2 linked regions of the Astyanax mexicanus genome follow. The protein of the gene in region 1 purifies or fractionates together with the protein of each later gene. This does not show direct contact. Links are inferred from orthologs where the notes say so. Each region holds a gene or a part of one and is shown in the gene's direction. Other genes may lie near its edges.

Region 1 (11,245 bases):
AAAATAGATCACTCTGTGTGTAATACATCTATATATAATATGTGAATTTCATATTTTTAATGAATTAATGAAATAAAGTAATTTTTTAATGACATTATAATATTATGAGATGACTAGTATATACTAGTTGTGTAAATAAAAAAATACTATATGTATACCTGATGCCACAGGCCAGCTGGTATGGGGTGGTGATCCAAGACTGAGCCTCCACTTTCTGTCCATCAGGCAGGACGACTGAAATGGGCTGGCTGTTAGCCGCCTGCTTGGCCAGAATGGCGTCGCTCTCCTTCTTCAGTCGATTGTACAGCTCTAAGCGCTCGGAGATGTAGCTCGGCCAAGGCTTTAGCTGTAGTGGGCAAAGATGCATGTTAGCATGAGGCTAATCTTGCAGGTATTAGAGCTTAGCTAACTCAGCTGGACACTGGCAGTTTTTTAAATGTTGCATCATTCATGAAGTCATCTAGGTAGCTATATGAATGAGGTTCTACTGATCCCATGCAGTGATTTCCAGTATAGATTCAACAGCATGCACAAGCAATCACCATGTATTGTCCCCTACACACCAGGATTTTAAGGTTTATTATTTACAGTTTTCATAATGTTATTTAAAGAGCATTTTTTTTAGAATTGCTTCTCAAATTTGAAACATGGAGCCCACAGTTGCTTCTGAAGGCTCACTCTCTCTAAATGCTCTTTTAAAACCCAGTCACATGAGTTAGTTCCAATATTCCTATTGCAGCTGGTGCAGAACCGGACTCTCTAAATCTGAATAAAACCAAAGACATGGCTGTTGACTTGAGGAGGGCACAAGGTTTTCTTTTATTAGCATGTTCATCATGCCATTACCAGGAGCACTAGTTACATAAATAACCCTTAACCCTGTTAAATCCTTGTCTGAAAGAAAATTTACTAACGCTAAATGGAACCTCACATACAGAATCACCCACACAATATATGCTAATTACTGCAACTATCTTTATTTATAATAATTACAGAGAGTAGGAGTCTGACTGGAACAGACACAGTCTTACTGTGATATAATAAGTATAATTAGAGTCTGGACAGACTGATCCCGCTGCTGATCACGGGTCAGTACTAACATGGACACACACCAAAGCCAGTCTAAAAAGAAGGCAGGCTTTATGATGCAATAGCAATGCAATCTATACGGGCTGTGGATCATGAGCTCACTCTTCTGTTCAGTGCTGTAATCATAATTCAGACAGAAAAATCTAGTTTAAACTAGTCTGATACACCCTGCTGTAATTTTCTGATTCATATTCATGAAAAACATGTTTTAGTGATGCTTAACTAGTATAGGCTATTAACAATTTGGTATAGTCACCGCTTAAGAACAAGACAAGGCAGATTAAGTGTTTATCATCATCATCATGTGTTTAGGTTACATTTCCTCAAGCCTTTTTTTCGTGTTAATATTTTGTGTGTTTATAATTTATATTAATATATGCTTGTGACTGTTTATGTATATGAGCATTTTATATACACATACATGCTCTGTTCTATATATTGCTTTGGAGGGTTGAGGCAAGATTGAAAGAGCTTGTTTCTTCTAGTTTTGTATTTCAAAGAAGATCTATAAATAAAAAATATATATACTTCTCCCGCTCCAGCTTCTCCTTTGGGTTTCTCCTTCTTTTTGCTCTTCTCTGCTGCATTTTGGGCATCTGGAGTTTTCGGCAGAGCAGCATTCTGGAGTGTGCATTTCAAAAGAGAACAAAATATTAAAATACAAATCATATTAATACATCTCCCAAAATGAGCAAGCAACATCTAAAAGGAAAGGTCCATTATATTTAGCATTATTTGGTTCTGTATAAGAGCTGATCTAAACTGACAGAAGGACACAGAAAAAATACAACAATAAATTTGCTTTGTGGCATCTTCATTATTTCAGCACACACTGTAACTGTGATATGATGGGTTGTATACTGGTAACATTAAAGGTTGGACTGTGTTTTATTTAGCTAGGGCTGCGTAATATATTGCTTTAACATCGATATTGCAATGCGCTTCCCTCAAAAAAAAAAAAGTAAATTAATTATTTAATTAAAAATAAATAAATAAATAAATTGCTACATAATTAAAACTTTCAACAAAACACAGTGCAGCTGTCCATAAAAAAAAGTGTATCGTCCAAAACAGCAACTTTACAGGAGCGCAAAAAAAAAAACTTCTTAACTTTCAATGGTAATGAATACAAAAGGATTTTATTTTATTTTAGGTAATTCTGAAGAATTCCTATTGGTCCATTTATCAAGACTTTTTCACACAGAGTAAGGGATAATGTGTGTGTGTTCACATGCTCACTACACTAAAATCAAAATCAACAAAATGTTAAATATTGTTTAGTATTGGACAGCGACGATATACACATTTAATGTGTGTTTAATTTCGCATAATTTTGCTGTCTGGGATGTACTATTGTATTTCTTTAGTGAGGAGAGCCTATTAATGTCAAAGATCCAGCGTGTCCACTTTTATGTTTCACTATTTACAAAAATATAAAAATAATATAAAATAAATATTAAATAAAATAAATATTTTATTATAAAATAATATAATAAACAGAGTATTTTGGTACTACCCTACTATTTCATCATTATCTTTGTCAGTGACATGAAATATTAAATTAAATTGACAGTTTTATTTTTTGCAATTATTTCTGGGGCAATATTTTATACAGCAAAACAGGTTATTGTGACAGGCCTACACAAAATACACTGTTTTAAGGTTTGGATTTAATTTAGCTTATATTACACATAGGCCATATCACTCCCCCAGCTCTCCCCAGTGATAATAACCCTGGTATAATTAATAAATCTCTGTTATGAGTGTATCAGTGTATCAGACCTTGTTCTGGGCTGTGTCTCTGGAGGTTGTTTCTCTGGTGCTCCTCTGTTTCTCCTGAACGCTGTTGTTGTTGTTGGTGGTGGTGGTGGTGGTGGTGTTACCGGGCTCTGGGTCTCGGCGCGGCTCCGGTCCCGGTCCCGGTCCCGGCTCGGCCTGCAGGCCGCGGCGGAGGTGTATCAGCCGGTATCTGAGCTTCTCGTTCTCGCTGCGCAGGTTCTCCAGCTCAGCGCTGCTCGCCAGCTCCGCGGCGACCTGCCCGCTAACCAGCCCGTCCCGCAGGCGGCCGATCTCCCGCCCCAGAGCCTCGATCTGCCGCTCCTGAGCGGCTAAACGTGCCGCCATGCGGTCCGCCATGTTTAAATCCCCCTTTCCGTCTGACCCCCGGGGTCTCTTATTTATTTCATTTATAATAAACTGGACTTTAGAGATATGGAGACATCTAGTGGACATTTATGATATTTAACTGAACACAAAGTAATTCACACTCAGACTTCAGATATATACAGCTCTGGAAAAAAAATGAGACCACTTACAATTATGAGTTTTTTAATTTCACCAAATTGAAAACCTCTGGAATATAATCAAGAAGAAGAAGAATGATCACAAGCCAATATACAAACCAAGCTGAACTATTGCTGAATTTTAGCAGCAAGAGTGGCATAAAGTTATCCAAAAGCAGTGTGTAAGACTGGTGGTGGAGAACATGCCAAGATTCATGAAAACTGTGATTAAAAACTAAAAATTCCATCAAATATTGATTTCTAAACTCTTAAAACTTTATGAACATGAACTTGTTTTCTTTGCAGTATCTACAAGCTCTGCATCTTTTTTTTATTTCAGCTATTTCTTATTTTCTGCAAATAAATGCTCTAAATGACAATATTTTTATTTGGAATTTGGGAGACATGTTGTCTGTAGTTTATACAATAAAACAACAATGTTCATTTTACTCAAACACATACCTATAAACAGCAAAATCAGAGAAACTGATTCAGAAACTGAAGTTGTGTCTTATTTTTTCCCCAGAGCTGTTTATAGGGGTTTGAACATGTTGATAATAAAAGAGTCTGCAAAACGTATTGGAGTACAATATTAAAATAGTCATTTTTTATATAATAGTAAAATAGTATTTTTGTATTTGAAGTTATTTGTATAATGTAGTAGGAAAAAAACAAGATGTAGTGGAGTTAAAGTAAAAATTTCACCCAAAATTGTATCTTTGAGGACAGATCTGCACTCTCTTTGTATTTTAATCTGGAATAGTTTACTCTACTTGTAAGTAGTGAATATGAGGCGTGTGCGACATCTGGTGGACATTCAGAGTATTGCAGCGTGTGTGCAGCGTAATGAAAACACATGGGTACATTTGATTGTAACACTCCTATTAGAAAGCTTAGGCCACAAAATGTTTTGCTTACATTATGTAAAGAATTTAGTCCTTTAACCCTGTATGAAATTAATTGTATTTTTTAGAGGAAAAATATCATTTTTTATATTCATGTGATATAGCAAACTTAAACATAGATTTTAATGTATCTTATGATGGTCAGATTATAGATGGATGCAACTCCATGCTCAAACCCTGGTTAATCAGCTAATGAGCCCAGCATGATTAAAGCTTATGTAGAAGAGATTTTTTTAACTGACAGTATTTGTAAAAAAAAAAAAAAAAAAAAAGAAGATTTAAAAAATGAATAAAATGTTGAATGTGCTAACATGCTGTGTGTGTTTTAGAGATTTTGGTCTATGTACAGTAAAAAAAAAAAACATGGAAAACTGCATGGAGTTAATTTGGTGCCAAAATGTTTATACAAAAATATTAAATCTGTATTCAAAATTGCAGATTATGTACATATTGGTACAAAAAATAAAGTAGAAAAAAATAGGAGTTCCAGTAGTGAAAAGACAACAATAACAAAATCACAAAAATGAAGGCAACAACTGGCAACATCTAAACACAAGCAATTTTTAAATAACTGCAAAGAATAACAAAGTTACCAAGTATATTTCTTTCAGTTTTGAATTTTCAACGTACAGTTTTTCCTTTTGATTTTTACAATTTTGATTGCAGATTTAATTGTCATAGATTTTACTCTGTAAGCTATTTTTTAGAGTGGAGAGACACACAGTCCAAGCTGCTTCAGGTCTAGTGTGAAGTTTCTACAATCAGCGATGGTTTGGAGAGACATGTCATCTGCAGGTGTTGATCCACTGTGTTTTAATATCAAGTCTAAAGTCAGTGCAGTTTTTTTTCCAGAAAATCTTACAGCACTTCATGCTTCTCTCTGCTAACAACTTTTAGATGCGGATTTCATTTTCCAGCAGGACTTAGCACACTGCCCACACTGATACAAAAAGTACCAATTGGTCTTATATAATATTAAAATTTTCTGAGAAACTTATTTTTAGGTTTTCATTGGCAGTATTCCAAAAATCAACAACATCATACATCAAAAATATTCTATTTTTTTAGGTAACCTGGATATTTTATCTAGAATATTTATTAGACAGTTTTATTAATGGTGGGAGTGTTCAGTGGAGATGTGAAGCGTGGCCGGTAGGTGGCAGCACTGGGGCGCAGTTTTCGCTGCGTGCTGACGTCATTTTCAGCTGACAGTAAGCATGCACAGGAAGAAAACATCGGGCTGCAGTTCATCCAGCTGAAGCGGCTCTTTACCCCAGAAAGGAAGGTAAAACAGCTCAGAAACAGCCATATTTACAGATTTAAACCCTCCCTGTGGGACTACAGTGAAGCTGCGGTATTGGTCAGCCTGTTATTCAGTTATCTAGCTGAGCGCTGAAGCGGAAATACTGTATTTTATATATTCATGACTCCAGAATGATGTAACTTAGTTAACCTAACTAGTAAACAAGCTAACTAACCTATTTATTTAATGAGCTGTTGCTTATTTATTCAAGCCAATTTCAGCTTTGTTTAGACAGCACAGGGTCTTCAGGGTAAACAGGGTAACTCCAGAAGAAAGGTTCTGTCTGTCTGTCTGTGGGCTTTATAAATACAGTGATATTAAAACATTTGGGTACCCCGGACCTTTTTTATAATTTTTCTTTATAAATCATTGATTGTTCAGATGAGCAATTTCAGTTAAATATATAATATAGCAGATGAACACAGTGATATCTGTGAAGTGATTTACAAAAAGTGTGAAATTCTTTAAACTAAATTAGGCAGGTGTATAAATTTGGGCTCGCCAAAAGAAAAATTACATCAATATTTAGCATATCCTCCTTTTGCAGAAATAACAGCCTCTAAACTTTTCCTATAGCTTCCAATGAGAGTCTGGCTTCTGGTTGAAGGTACTTTGGATCCTTCTTCTTTATAAAACATCTCCAGTTCAGTCAGGTTTGATGGTTTCTGAGCATAAATAGCCCCTTTAAATCACATCACAGATTTTTAGTAATAATATTCAGGTCTGGAGACTGAGATGATCTGAGATGATCATTCCAGAATGTTGTACTTGTTCCTCTGCACTAGTGCTTTAGTAGATTTTGAGCAGTGTTTAGGGTCGTTGTCTTGTTGAAGGATCCAGCCCCAGCGCTTTAACTTTCTCACTGATTCTTCAACACTGTTCTTAAGAATCTGCTGATATTGACTGGAATCCATGCGATTCTTAACTTAACAAGATTCCCAGTACCTGCACTGATCACACAGCCCCACAGCGTGATGGAACCATAGCAATCTTAGCAAGTCAAATTCTAATTTTAAAGCAATAAATCTTTTTTCTCCCCTGATAAGAGTTTTTTGTCTTTCTAAGCACTGTAAGAGTTAGATTATTTATGAAATAATTATCTTACTTAGTCTTACTTAGAAGAGACTCAGTTTTACTTCACTCATTTTGAGACTTTGCGGTTGCTTTTTAAAGAAATCTTACTAAGAAAAAAATGATTTTATTTAAAGAGAACACAAAAGCATTTTATACACACATAAACTGAAAGGAACTACAGATTTAACATATTGTATTGAATTAATCATTATTTGTATTTGTAGTCATTTTGATAATGTATTTGAGTAAAATGTAATAAATATGAGTTTGAAATGTATTGAAATTATATGTAAATACTAAAGTACAAGCTACTAAGTACAGTGGGATTACATGTACTTCATTACTGTCCAGCACTGTGTAATGTAGTGTATTTATGTATCTGGATCTTGGCAGGAGCTGGTGGATGTGTCCTGTCCAGGGAAGCATGGCCTCGAGCTTTGCCCCACCGAAGCTCGCTGACTTCATTCTGACTGAGAAACTTGGGAGTGGCACCTATGCTACCGTCTACAAAGCCTACAGGAAGGTGGGTGGGATATAGTTTAAATAGGCCCATGTTTGAGAAACATATCCAATATTTAGACAGTGCTTCTACTTAGAGCTGCTTTCACTGCTTTAAAATGTGCCCACTGCTGACACATGTGTGATTTCTGTGCACACAGCTCAATTCCCAGTGGCAAGCTTTCGATAGAAAGCTTTAATCTCCCAGCATTGGGCTGTAGGGCAGTGGAACTGTGTGGAACTGTGTTTTCTGAAATGATTGAGCTCAATCTGCTACTTCTGCAATGAGCTGGAGTGGCGGAATGACTGAGGTGCTGCTAATTTAGATGAATGCAATCAGATTCTTATATCTAGAGTAAAATACTAGTGTTACATCTAGCCTAAAGCCCTGCCAGCAGCCAGTAAATGAGTAAATGAGGAATACTGACTCTTATTAGGCTTGATTTCAGAGAAAACACTGAATATATACTGTGGTTTTGCACTTTTTGGTGTGAGGATTTGATTGTGCTCACTCACTGTAGAAGCTAGTGAAGTCAACCCAAAAGTATGGGATGGAGCATCATGGAACACTTGATGCTGTGGGGGGTGGGGTAAGGGGGGAGGGGGCTCTATACCCCTCTATCCCATTCCTGGTATGAAGTACGCTGCCAATTAGGGCTGTGTATTTGCAAGAACATGGCTATACGATATGTATCATAATACAGGGGTAACGACAAAACACAACACAAAATGAACCTATGTCTGACAACAATCTTCACATGTAAACTAATAATTCGATTCGTTTTTAAGATTCAGTACAAAATTACAAAACAAAATATTATGATACTTTGATATATTGATATTTTCTTACAACCCTTACACAGCCAGTAGGTTTATGTTAACTTTTATTGTAGTAAAACATGATAAAAAAGTACTTACCTTTGATGAATAGCACACCTCCATTCTCCCACAGTGTTCCAAGATCCAGAAATTTTAACAGTTTGTTTAAACACCCTTCAGACTGGGTGACACAGGCTTAATTTGCCCTGATAAATCGCTTTTCCACCATTATTCAGGCTCAAAGTAGCTCTACACCTCCTTGTTAGAATCTGGAGAGCCTTGACATTTAAAACAAGGCATTAATAACTTAAAAAGTGCCCAAGAAGCTTATTAAAAACACTGTTTACCCATAATGCTAACTTCAGCTCCAAGCGCCGCCATTACTCATGGCACCGGCTGCTATATACATAGACTCCGCATAGTGTAGCAGCTGGCATCAGCTTCTTGTGCACCTTTTTAAGTTATTAATGCCTCGTTTAAAATGTCAAGGCTTTCCAGATTTCATTTTCATTTCATTTTCCGGATTTTCAATTTTTGGATCTCGGAACGCTGTGGGAGAACGGAGATGTGCTATTCATCAAAGGTTTGTACTTTTATCATGTTTTACTACAACAAAAGTCCATTTTCCACTAGAGTTTTCCTTTAAGTATATATCAGTTGTAATTGACCTATATTTAAATACAACTTAAAAGTATTAGATTGTGCTTTTGAGGGCTTTTTTCATATACGTTTTTCAAACTCAAGTACAATTAAGAATGGGTTATTTTAAACATCATTTTTAACACACTTTAAGTATATTGTAAATGTACTACTTTGCGTATTGTCATTAAGTATATTAAAAAGATGCTTATTCTTAACCTAATTTAACATATTTTAATGCTCTTAACTATACTTCCTTCTCACAAGGGTAGCTGAATATATTTATTAATAGAGGTGTTCACAAACATTTGGATATGACATGGAGTAAAACATACAGTTAGTGTCTGCAGCACTAAATGAGTCAAACCCTGTGGTTTAAACTCTGTGGTTGATTCATATTCATAGTTTAATGAAACCTATTAGGTCACATGACAGTCTTTGAAGAGTATGGGTGTGAAATGCTATGATGTGGCTGTTTTGACAGAGATATAAATAGCTGATATATCTGTCATAGGCCAACTCACACCCGCACAAGCACACACACAGATTAATAACATTACTAAACGGATTGTCATAACTTTGGGATCCAAAGTGCAAAAGTCCAGTCATATTGACCCTTATTAATAAAGAAACAATTGTGTATGATTATATTAAATCATAAAATGACAGCATTGTAATTCCAATTTAATTGCTCAATTTCATCTGTACAGTTGTACAGTACTAGACTGCAACATTTTCAAGATTCAGCATCTATTTTATTATCAATAACATAATAGTTGTTTTCCTTACAAAAGTTACAAACCTACAATAGATGCACTTTTTAGTTATGTGCTCACACATATATACCAAGGCTGAATCTTTTAAAGTTCTTTTTAAAGATATGCTTCTTTATCACATAAATGAAATATCTTATATCATATATAATAGAAATACTGTCAATCTGATACAACTGATAAGAAAAATTGTGCAGTTTCCACATTATGAACTATAGAAAATGTCCAGAAGATCAGGACTGCAGCGTTTAGCTGAGGATTATTTGTGTCAGGGGGATTCTCATTACAGAAAATGCTCCCTGTTGTTTGGGAAAGGGGCGGGGCCTGTGTAGTAAGACATGATATAACCCAATGTGAATTCTCTGACCTGCTCTATTCACACACTATTTGCTTAGTTTTAGTCTTCTGCCTAAATGTCTGATAGATTTTAGTCATTTAGTTCTTAGTTTTAGTCTAGTTGTATTCAATAAAAACTGAAAACATTGTAGTCCAATTTTATTCAAAACATTTAGTCTAATTTTAGTCAATTTAAAGGTACAGTTCAATTAACTCTACATGTATTTTTAATTATTTTACAGTTTTATATTTGTGTTATTATTAGTGATATTTCATTTATTGCAAGCTTTTATTAAAACAATAGCATTTAAGTTTTGTTGTGTTTTACTATGCCAATATTAAATAGTTTTAAAACTACTGAGCTATGTAGACAGTGAGACAAGTAAAGGCAAGTGGCCAGTAGTGGGAGCTTTTTTTTCAAGCGTTTCTTGAATCAGGTGGGAAGCAGTTATTTCGTACGTTTTTTTCTGTTGTTTTAAATGTGTTTTTCTGATGCAACTTTAAATAACATCAATTTCAATGCAAAAACTTTTTTTTAATGTTTTTTGTTTTATGATGTAATGTGACATTAATGAATATAATCTTCATCCATTGACTTCCATTGAATGTTAAAAAGTTTTTCCACCTTCTGCTGCGAAGTTATTATTTTGGAGATAAAAGGTTTTTGCATGACAGCACGATATGGAAATTTCTCTTCCTGTTATCTGACATATTTGAGTTCATACTGTAGATGGATATACAGTCCCATCCAAAAGTATTGGAACAGCGAGTCCAATCCATTTATTTCTGCTGTAGACTGAAAACATTTGGGTTTGACATTAAAAGATTAACATTTCAGCTTGTATTTCCAGGTATTTACATTTGGATCTGATGCACAGTTCAGAAGATAGCACCTTATATCTGAACCCACCCATTTTTATTGTGTTAGCACACTAATCATTGTGTAAAATTATCCAATTAGTATTTTGGGGGAAATCAAATTGTGATCTGATTCCCAGAAGTACATGAAGCAAAGTGTGAACAGACTGTTTGTTTGTTGGTTTGTTTAGACTGACAGCAGAGAGGCGGTGGCCGTGAAGGTGGTCAGTAAGAAGAGTCTGAACAAAGCTTCTATGGAGAACCTTCTGACGGAGATAGAGATCCTGAAGACAGTGCGCCACCCACATATTGTGCAGCTTAAAGACTTCCAGGTACACAGTTCCTGTTACATGATGTGTAACACAGTGTCTGGAGCTGAAATAGATCCCTGTGTACATTTCAATGGTGTGGCATATTGTATTATACACACTTATCTTGCCATACATTTTAAAACTATTACAAAAGTGGATTGTTATAGTAGCTCTAAGGGTTTTAAGGGTATTTTCTCGTGTAATCATTTATTTTTTAACTTTACACCAATCAAGCATATTATTATGACGATCTCCTTGTTTCTAAACCCATTGTACATATTATCAGCTCCACTGAATGCATAAGACACTATGTAGTTTTATAATTACAGACAGTATTCCTGTATCTGTTTCTCTGTAC
Region 2 (11,218 bases), on another chromosome or scaffold:
GTTTTATAGGACTGTAAATTATTTTCTTATTTTTCAGTATTATTGCCGGAAACATCCATAATGAATACAATTAATGTTCTTCAGGACTTGGGTGGTATCATTTGATAGCCATTTGATTTGTTTTTTTATAGGATTAATTTTTTAATTAATCCCATATTTTTTTATTTCTAAAATGTTCCACTGTTTTACAGATAGTTGTGTTTCTGGTGTATATTTGTTGATTAGAGCTGGTTGAATTATGTTTATTCAGCTGTAAAACTAGTTTCTGTTCTATTTCAGTCTCTGCCTCTGCTCCTAAAGCCCTGCTGTGCACGCAGCTACCGTAATACACTGTTTAGACGTGCATACAGGTTTTCACTGCGGACAGTGCGATTTACAGATTAACTTTTACCTTCTAATCTCACGCGGGCCGAGCAAAGATGGTCAGAGGGCCGGTTGTGGCCCACGGGCTGTACAATGTGCAGGTCTGCATTACAGGAAGTGTAGGGGGCGCTCTATAATGCGCTATAATGTTCATATGATCCACACACTCATTCTGACAGAGTGTAATACACTACAGGAAGTGTAGGGGGTGCTCTATAATGCTCTATAGTGTTCATATGATCCACACACTCATTCTGACAGACTGTAACACACTACAGGAAGTGTAGGGGGTGCTCTATAATGGTCTATAATGTTCTTATGATCCACACACTTATTCTGGGATACTGTAATACACTACAGGAAGCGTAGGGGGCGCTCTATAATACGCTATAATGTTCATATGATCCACACACTCATTCTGAGAGACTGTAATACACTACAGGAAGTGTAGGGGGTGCTCTATAATGTTCATATGATCCACACACTCATTCAGAGAGACTGTAACACACTACAGGAAGCGTAATGAGCACTCTATAATGCTCTATAATGTTCATATGTTCCACACGCTCATTCTGACAGACTGTAATACACTACAGGAAGCGTAGGGGGTGCTCTATAATGCTCTATAATGGTCATATGATCCACACGCTCATTCTGACAGACTGAAATATATTACAGGGAGTGCCGGGGGCGCTCTATAATGGTCATATGATCCACACGCTCATTCTGACAGACTGTAATACACTACAGGAAGTGTAGGGGGTGCTCTATAATGCTCTACAATGTTCATATGATCCACACACTCATTCTGACAGACTGTAATCCACAACAGGATGCATAGGAGGTGCTCTATAATGCTCTATAATGGTCACATGATCCACACGCTCATTCTGACAGACTGTAATACACTACAGGAAGTGTAGGGGGCGCTCTATAATGGTCATATGATCCACACGCTCATTCTGACAGACTGTAATACACTACAGGAAGCGTAGGGAGCACTCTATAATGCTCTATAATGTTTATATGATCCACACACTCATTCTGACAGAGTGTAATACAATACAGGAAGTGCAGGGAGCACTCTATAATGGTATATAATGTTCATATGATCCACACGCTCATTCTGACAGACTGTAATACACTATAGGTAGCGTAGGGGGTGCTCTATAATGCTCTATAAAGTTTGTATGATCCACACACTCAATCTGACAGAGTGTAATACAATACAGGAAGCGCAGGGGGCGCTCTATAATGCTCTATAATGTTTATATGATCCACATGCTCATGCTGACAGACTGTAATACACTACAGGAAGTGTAGGGGGCGCTCTATAATACTCTATAATGGTCATATGATCCACACGCTCATTCTGACAGACTGTAATACACTACAGGAAGTGTAGGGGGCGCTCTATAATGCTCTATAATGGTCATTGTGATGTTTTGGTTGTGGTTTCTCTGCAGAGCGTGCGGACAGTGTGGTGATAGTTCGTGATAATGGTGATTGGTCAGAAGGTGAGCAGAGGAAGCTGAAGTGTGAGATTAAGAATGTGGGTCCAGTCAGTAATCTTACAGTGCAGTGGACCAGACTGGACCAAAACCAAACCAGAACCATCAGGGAGTCCAGGAATTTCACCATTTCTAGTAGAATGGAAGAAAAGGGGGATGTGACGGACACTCTGGAGGTTTGGACCAGTCCAGAAGAAGATGGAGTCCAGTATCAGTGTTCGGCTCTACTGGACCTGATCCAGTTCAAACAACAACAAGTGGACGAATCCCAACCCTTCAACATAACCGTACTCTGTGAGTTCACCTGTAAACCAATCTGAATTTTTACTGTAGTCCAGTCCTGTTCCTTCAACTTACTTCATTCTTTCTCTGCTGGAAACATTTGGGGAATTTAGCGAGTCAGCTAACGTCAACTAGCATGGAATTCTTTAGGGTTTGAGTTATTTGCATACAACATTAAATCAGAACACAGAGTTGTGTTGTCATTGTTGTGCAGTTTAACTCTAATGGTATGTCTCAGAGAAGTAGCAATTGGTTCTTTCTTTATTCTTTTCCCATCAGATAAACCCATCATAACACGGCCGTCTGCTGCCACTGTATCCAAAACTGCGGGCGACGCGCTGACGTTTTACTGTTCGGCACGAGGAAAACCGAAGCCTCAGTTTACCTGGACCACAGGTAACTCAAACATCACGCACTCCCCCCTCCTCAACATCAGCAACGTCCAGTCAGAACATCAGGGAAATTACACCTGTATCGCCTCCAACAGCAAAGGCTCCGCCTCCGTGACGGTGACGGTTACCGTTTCAGGTGAGTGAAATTCAGGGTAAACGTCCATCACATGTACAGGTGTAGTTACTGCAGGGCTGATGCTGCATGTTTCAGATTTTGCTCCCCCAAAATCAAAGTGAATCCTACCATTATCACGTTTTTTCACTCTCCTGAAAACATTAATCCCATTAGCAACTAATAACACTTTGCCCTTATTAACCAATTAACCAATTAACCGCATCCAAGATCCTGCAGGAACCTTCTGAGCTATCAGTCTCAATCCCACTATAGCTTTATTTATTTCAGCCAAATTTCATGTAAATAGAAATTATATTTCTGGAGAAAATGAGCCCTAAACATTGTTTCCCAGCAGTGATCATTTTCTTAATAAACAAAAATATTTTTTCATGACCTTTTTTCATACAGAAAACAAAATGAGAACTAAATAAAAAGTAACAAGTAAAAACTAAGACTATGACATGTATTATGTTTTTATAAAGAAATAAAATTTTATATTTCTCCAGTGATCAGAACATATTACTTAAAGATTAGAACAGCCTAAACATAAATCACACAAATCTGACCTAATCTCCTGATGTTCCTTCATCTAGTGCCCTCATCAGAAGACAACCTGCCAATCATCGCTAGCTGTGTTGCGGTTGCGGTGGCATTGCTGATAGTTGGACTCTTTGTTTGGTACTGCAAGCATTACCGGCACACACACATGGGCCGCTACATCCTGAGGAACCTGGCGTCCCGGCGGCACAACGCCAACGTGGCCCATTGCGACTCTCAGACCCTCCAGTCACACTGATGTTCTGATGTTTTGAAGTTTTCTGAAAAACCCCACGCAGCACAGCGGTCTCAGATATTCTAGCCCGCATACCACTGGTGGTCACAATTATGAACAGTGAATAAATGGTATTTTTATCTTCAGTAAACTGATCTGAGAGAAATAGTTTCCATATATATGTAATGTGTACAGGCTGCAGGTGCTAATCTTAGCTAATACACAATACAGCACAATACACCTTCTCATTGAATGGATTATGTATTTAGAAATAACTGACCTACTACTTTACACATTTTTTTTGCATTAAAAATAATAAATCTAATAATGGTTGATTTTCTTTGCTGTAAATGTGTTTGTTACACTGGAGGGAAAAACCTAACAATGCATAATAGACTTTTTTATTATAGTTATTTACAGGAGCTGTATGTAATATATTTACAATGTACAACTTTATAAAATTATGATGTGTGATCAGATATTAAGAAAATATGATAAGTTTAAGCTTAACATCAGAGCTTCAGTCAGTATATTCTTCTTTAGATTGTTTTTACTGAGCAGAAGTCTGTACAATGTAGCATCAGAGGAGTGGTTATGGGTGTGGAAACACAACACTTTCCACAATGCTCTGGCACTGGAAAACTATTTAACCCAGTGAATGGAGAAGGCTAAATTGTCCAGATCAAAGACTGAGCTGAACAGACACATAGTGTCGGAAAATGTCTTGAAGAATCTTTAAGAAAACTATTAACCTTACAAGTGTTCTACTTTTAGGTTCCTGATAGAGCACTTCATACGAAATTATGTCCAGAGGCATTTGCAAGTGATGAAATTGTATGTAGAACTGCAAATGTATAACAATCATACACATGAGTTCTATTTTTAATTACTGTAATCATATAATAGAGATTTAACAGTATTTTCCCCTGATAAAACAGAACCTAATGAGATGATAATGAACTCAGGAAGAACTCAGGCTTTAAAATACAGCAGAACCTGAGCTGTGGAGGAAACACCTTTAACATTAGTGTTGACACAGAGACCACAGGATATGTTCAGAGGTCCTGTATAGTCCAGGCTTTGCTTGGGCCAGAACTGATCGCTCAATGAACCAAACAATGAACCAAGTCTCAGAACCGCCTGCAGATTCTGCATCTCCGCTCTGTAGTACTGAATCTCCTGAAATTCTGTTCTTTCTTTAGTCTTTAGCCACCCCTAGTGGAGCAACTTAATCATTACAGCCTCTTTCTGGTTTACTATAAATACTACTGGTTTATTATTAATCAGATTATTAAGCTGATCAGTTTAATTATTAAACACTGTACACGTGTGTGTTTGTATTTCAGTAAAATAAGTATTTATGATATATGTAAACCAGAGTGATTTATAATTCAATAAATGTTTGGTTTTTATACCTCAGTACTCCTGCCCCTGCACACACTTTCATTTTATACCTCTGAATTTCTAATTCCTCTTATATGTAAGAATATGTTTTAATCGTATGTATAATTGTATTTTTATGTATACAATATATTGTTTTATATACATGAGTATATATATATATATATATATATATATATATATATATATATATATATATATTATTTATATTAGAATTGTGTGTGTGTATTAGATGTTTAGATAATTGTGTATAGATTATGTGTATTGATTATGTATTGTGATATGCATGCATCGATTACTGCACCGTGCGTTTCTATTGGACTGGTGACACTGTTGCTATGGTAACCGCTGCAGCTCTCTGCGGTAACACAGCCGGAAGGGGCGTGGTGATCCACCTCGTTGCCCCGCCCTCTGGCGCCGGAAGTGTTGGAGAGTTCCAGAAGGCGCGTGGGGTGGAGAGGAGAGCTCTAGAAGAAAGAGGAGAGCGCGATTATTGATTATTATTATACAAAATCAATCTGATTGGGAATTAGAGGAGAATAAACAGAGCCATGACAACTATCGATTACAGCGTGTGGGATCATATCGAGGTGTCTGACGATGAGGATGATACACACCCCAACATCGACACACCGAGCCTGTTCAGGTGGAGACACCAGGTAACAACACACTTGATTCTGTACACAGGTTCCACCTTATACACCTGTTATATAGAGGAGATCTGGCTGCTCTCTGTTTTCTGTTCTACTGTAATACTGGACCTTTCTGTGTTTTACATTACTCACAAGAGAGACCAGTTATTTGCTGCTTCATTCTCTAAATCTTTAAAAATCTACCTCAGTATCTGCTGTGATCATCTATGTTCTATATGTTACATATCTCTGCACCTTATTCTCTCTTAAACACTGCACTGTCCTGCCTGTTAAACTGTGTCGTCTGTTGTATTTATTGTAGTGTTATAGTTTTATGTTGCACTATCATAACACTTTTACAATTTTATGTTGTGCATTGTATTGTTGTTCCATGTTGCACCATGGATCCGAGATCAGTAAGTTTCTTACACTGTGTATCTGTACTCTTTAGTCTTTTGACTTGAGTTTCAGGCTAAAACCCACAAATACATCAAGCCTAAATCCTGCTTAATACAGAAATATATATAATATATAACAGAAATATATAATATATATATAAACCCATCTGAGTCATTTATCATCACATCATGTTTAAACCAGTGTAAATCATTTCCTTTTCGCCGTGGAACAATTGAAGTATTAAACTGTAATAATGGACATTTACCTTACCTGTACAAATCCGTGTACATCCACTGCATGGTCATTGTGCTCAAACAGAACTTACAGTAAATTAAACACATCTACATCGATTATTTAACTAATAAGAATATAAGAGGTAATATAGTAATAGTGAGTTATGTGCTTTCTGGCTGGAAACACCCCGATTAGCTATAAAGCTAAAGCTTAGTCTCAAAGCTTTGAAAGTTAAAAACCGAAAAATAATTGCAATTTTTGCATACGTAAGGCAGTAATACTAATCAAAACCAAACACGGGTAATTTCGTTAAATGGGGTTAGTAGAATATAGCACATTATAAATCAAATAATTAGTAAAATACTGGGAAAAAAATAATGCTGACTGTTAAACTAATGCAATTAAATCACAACCCCGTACTGACCCAGAGCTGTGACATGTCTATAACGCCACACTAGATAAAGCATTAATCACTAATGTAATGAGCTATATCGGGTTACTGCGCCTTAAATTATATAAATTATACAATATTAATAAAATCTACCTTAACAAACGCTAAGCTAAGCTAGCTTTGAGTGAACAGCAGCAGAGGCTAATTTCTTCTCAGAACTCAAACTCCACTATTGCTGAATTATAAATAAGTTAAACTTAATATACAGATTAATACACTAATGTACAGATAATTAACCGTTTATATGGTCAACAGAAAGACTGATATCACAGTAAATCCTCGCTGTTAGCCGCTGATAGCTAACCAGGCTTACAGTGTGACCGGTGGTGGAGCTAGCTTAGCTCATTTCCCCTCAGAACCGGAGCTAAATCTCACTACTGTCGCTTTTAACACACCAATAAAGCATTAAAGCATTTTAAATCATTAACCACGCGCTTTAAATCAGTTCCGCTGATTTCAGAATCTTACATTACATATAATAATAACCGAAAAATAATAAACACGGGACATTAGCTGATGCTAACCGCTAGCCTAGCTGACTCACTGAAAACTCTATACAGGCTAAGCTAAGCTAGGGTAAGCTAACTAATTCCTCAGACTGATTCTGACTACAATTTGTGAAAAACTCGAGTATTTTTCAGATTTTAAAGCAGCAGGTCGCTGATTTAAGAGATTAAATAAACACTGAAACGCAGTCGAAGCTAATTTACCTCAGAACTTTAAACTTAAAAACAGCAGTAAATGATCTGTATCTCCTAACGGGGTTAAACTCGGTTAAACCCGCCGCTTTATCTCAACTATCTCAATTTCTAATAACGGATTTAATTAAATAAAACAAGAAGATACGTGATTTAGATAATTAGCTCTTTAGGTTAGCTGGCTAACCCGTTAGCGGTGCTGCTGGATAAATTCTGCGTTTATATTACATTATATTATATAATGTTGTATTATTATATTCAATAATATTGTATTGTTTATATTATATTTTAATATATTGTATTGTTTGTTGTGGTTTAATGAAATCTGTTCACTGTTTCGAGCTGGACATTCTGTGTTTCAGCACAGCCAAATCAAATTAAATCAGAATTAACAGTGTTAATTAACAGGGTTAATTGTGATTCAAACACTTGTATTTTAGATTAACTGACACTACAGTGTTGTAAAGATGGTAGTATGTCATCTGTTACTATTGTGCCTGTGTTTAAATTTATCTAAATTATCAATAAAATGATTTAATATAAAAGTTATATTTTCTGTTAACAGGCGTGGGTGTGTGAGGAGAAGGTCTATATACATTTTCCTCTTTTAATGTATCCTCTTTTTAATCAGTTGATTAATCTTTAGGATTAGGGAGTGGGGTTCTTTGCTGGTGTTGGTAAAAGTATAGACTGGCTAAGCTGGTTAAGCTTCAGTAAGCTAGTGCTGATCAACTTATTATTTTAGAACAGGGTCCTGTTATTTTTTGTGTAGGAAATGCATAGATTTCGTTCATTGCTTCAGGTATAAATTCTAAATCCTTTATTAAATCTGCATTATCATGATGAGTCTAATAGGAGTTCTTGTTCTTAAAGTTAATGTAAATTGACTCTGGGTATAAAAAAATTCAGCTTTAGCTTATTGTTAGTTTTATTGTTGTAAATATTTTGATTATTCAGAATTACTCTGTAATGTCTGTATCATTGACAGTATTGTATAATATTTTTGTTAGTCTGCTCTAGATCAGCAGGTCTGCTTAATGCCACACGTTTATTCTGACAGACTATAGTACACTACAGAAAATGTAGGGGGTGCTATTGTTTTGTGTCTATCTCTGTCCTGAAGCCTCTGATTGTTTTACACCCTCAGGCTCGAGTGGAGCGTATGGAGGCATTTCAGAAACAGGGGGAGGAACTGGAGAAGAACCTGGCGGAGAGCAGGAAGAAGCTTCAGGAAGTTCAGAAGAAGGTCCAGGAACTCTCACTGAAGAGTACAGAGGAGGCCAAGCAGCAGCTGGTCAAAGCTCAGGAGGAGGAGAAGCGTCTGAAGAAGGAGGAAAGGAACTGTGAGAAGAAGGTGGACGAGTATCGCAGAGAGGAGAAGAAGATGCCCTGGAATGTGGACACGCTTAGCAAAGAAGGATTCAGCAAGGTGAGAAACACCTCAGAGGTCGGACCGTTTATAGATTTTACTCTACTACAGAGAAAAGCTGGGTGTAAAAACCTGTTCTGTAGTAACTGTAGTGTGAGTACCACTTACTGTCTGTAAGACATTTAATATTGTTTTCAGGTGGATTCTAAAGCTCAATACTTTTATATTTCTGCGTCAAACCTACGCCGTAGTTTGTGTACCTAGCAGCAGAGCGTGTTTATACTTCTGCATGCATGTATCAGCAGCTCTGCGTCGCTCTGCAGTTTAAATTGCAAAAAGAATGTGTGTGAGAGAACACGGGGCCGGCTGACCAATCACAGCTGTGGCTGTCCGTGTCGCACAACATATAGTTACATTTCCAGAGAGATGCAGAGTAGAGTAAGCAGTGGTGCGTAGGCTCGATGCAGAAGTATACATTTGCCTTTAGGTATTTTAGATCATAAATCAGGATGTTTTAGGTAATTGCTGTGGTATCTAGAGCTAAACTAAAAACACAGAGGTTCTTGAGTTGCTCCGTGTCACTGTAGTTTTAAATGAAGGCGTGGTACTCTAATCATTTTAAACCCACTGCCATCACCTCCAACAGTGTAATATACAGTCTTATTGCCCGTATACCAGAAGTGTCTCGCCTCTTCCGGAGTTGAGTTGACAGAACCTGAGGATACTGTTCTGAGTATGAAGAAACATCTCATTGAGTTTCTGCAGACTGTGAATAAGTTGGAATATTTTACCCACATGTGAATTTGCACAGGAGTATTATTAGCTGTTTTGTTTATGGACAGTTGGCATGGCTGGAGTCTGATATGAGCTCTGATCTGATCACCTGCTCTGTATTTTACTTTAGTCTGGACTGAAACACTTCTGATTCACATGGAGGTTCTTTATCATTTGCTTTCACAAAAATAAATATTTTGCACCATCAGAATGTGCAGCACTAATAAACCTTTCACTTTAGAGTTTAGTATAATGTTACTGCTGCTCTGTATTAATCTCTCTCTCTCTCTCTCTCTCTCTCTCTCTCTCTCTGATAGAGTGTACTGAATGTCAAGCCTGAAGTAAAGGAAGAGACGGAGGAGGAGAAAGAGGAGAAGCATAAAACCTTCGTGGAGAAATATGAAAAACAGATAAAACACTTTGGTAAGTCGCTGTGTGTGAAAGTAATATTGCTTTATTGAATCTGGATCAGAAAGACAGTGACTGGTTAGCGTGTGTGTGTGTGTGTGTGTGTGTGTGTGTGTGTGTGTAGGTATGCTGCGTCGCTGGGACGACAGTCAGAAGTACCTGTCGGATAATCCTCACCTGGTGTGTGAGGAAACAGCGAACTACCTGGTGATCATGTGCATTGACCTGGAGGTGGAGGAGGTGCGTGTGCTATGTTTACATGTGATGGTATTGATGATGGTAAACTATTACAGTTTTCTTCAGGTTTAGTTTTTCATGTCCAGTTGAAAAAAAAAGAGAATTTATTAGATTATTTACTAACAAGTTAGAGAAATATGGATCTTCTGATCTTCAGACTATCTGGTTTAGTCTAGATGTTGGAGCTCTGCATTCTACACTGTTCCCATAAACCCCGCTCTTGATACCTTTACCTGCAACTATTCATTATAATGAACCCATTTGTGTCTGTGTGTGTGTGTGTGTGTTTCAGAAACATGCTCTGATGGAGCAGGTGGCCCACCAGACGATTGTAATGCAGTTTATCCTGGAGTTGGCTAAGAGTCTGAAGGTGGACCCTCGGGGCTGCTTTCGCCAGTTCTTCGCCAAGATCAAGGTGTGTGTCCCTTAAACACACTCAGCCCTCAACACACAATCTTCACATTCATCCACTGTATCTTTAATGTATGTGCTGTTTACCTTACAGACAGACAGACCGACAGAGTGTGTGTGTAATGGAGAATGGAGGTAGTGCAGTTGAACACAGTAGATAAGGAACACCAGTCGATGTTAATAAAGAGAGGATAACTGATGTCAGCCATAAAGAAAGTGCAAATACACAGTTATAATATAAATAATAATTTAAATTTAGCAGTGCAAATTTGTAGAGATGTAAACTGTGGATAGTAAATAAACTACTAGGGCAAAAAAGTGTAGAACTACAAAAATATTATAATGTGGCATCTCTGAGAGTGTGTCTGCAAAGATGGGGGTGTGTCCATGTAGTGGCCGGAATGAAGGTGTCACAGAGTCTTCAGTTTGCAGTGCTGAGAGGAGTTGAACAGTCTTATGGCCTGAGGGACAAAAGACCTCCTCAGTCTGTCTGTGGAGCAGGACTGGGACAGCAGTCTGCCGCTGAATGAGCTCCTCTGCCTGGTGATGGTGCTGTGCAGAGGGTGGTGAACATTGTCCATGATGTTCAGCAGCTTGCTGAGGGCTCTCCTCTCTGCCAGTGGTGTTAAGGACTCCAGCTCTAATCCCAGCACAGAACCAGCTTTCCTCACCAGCCTGTCCAGTCGTCCAGCATCCCTCTTGCTGATGCTGCCTCCCCAACACACTACAGTGTAAAAGAGGATGCTATGCACATCTCTAGAACATGTTT

What was found.
Region 2: the proteins of ulk3 (region 1) and cdc37 purify together in Homo sapiens (affinity purification with mass spectrometry; 3 studies listed by BioGRID and IntAct, with this or other methods). This does not show direct contact. The link is inferred for Astyanax mexicanus from reciprocal best matches to the Homo sapiens genes ULK3 and CDC37.

The regions. Positions count from the first base shown.
Region 1 is NC_064416.1:38,658,895-38,670,139, reverse strand, and holds the start of ulk3 (serine/threonine-protein kinase ULK3), read left to right. Parts: upstream 1-5,469; 5' UTR 5,470-5,561; intron 5,562-7,046; 5' UTR 7,047-7,056; coding exon 7,057-7,176; intron 7,177-10,767; coding exon 10,768-10,908; intron 10,909-11,245. Other genes in the region: tars3 (threonine--tRNA ligase 1, cytoplasmic), read right to left, coding at 159-346, 1,618-1,710, 2,872-3,225. UniProt on the Homo sapiens protein: Serine/threonine protein kinase that acts as a regulator of Sonic hedgehog (SHH) signaling and autophagy.
Region 2 is NC_064428.1:42,796,627-42,807,844, forward strand, and holds the start of cdc37 (hsp90 co-chaperone Cdc37), read left to right. Parts: upstream 1-5,245; 5' UTR 5,246-5,387; coding exon 5,388-5,495; intron 5,496-8,397; coding exon 8,398-8,679; intron 8,680-9,710; coding exon 9,711-9,816; intron 9,817-9,925; coding exon 9,926-10,041; intron 10,042-10,330; coding exon 10,331-10,453; intron 10,454-11,218. Other genes in the region: probable serine/threonine-protein kinase nek3, read left to right, coding at 1,830-2,168, 2,436-2,684, 3,257-3,459. UniProt on the Homo sapiens protein: Co-chaperone that binds to numerous kinases and promotes their interaction with the Hsp90 complex, resulting in stabilization and promotion of their activity. Inhibits HSP90AA1 ATPase activity.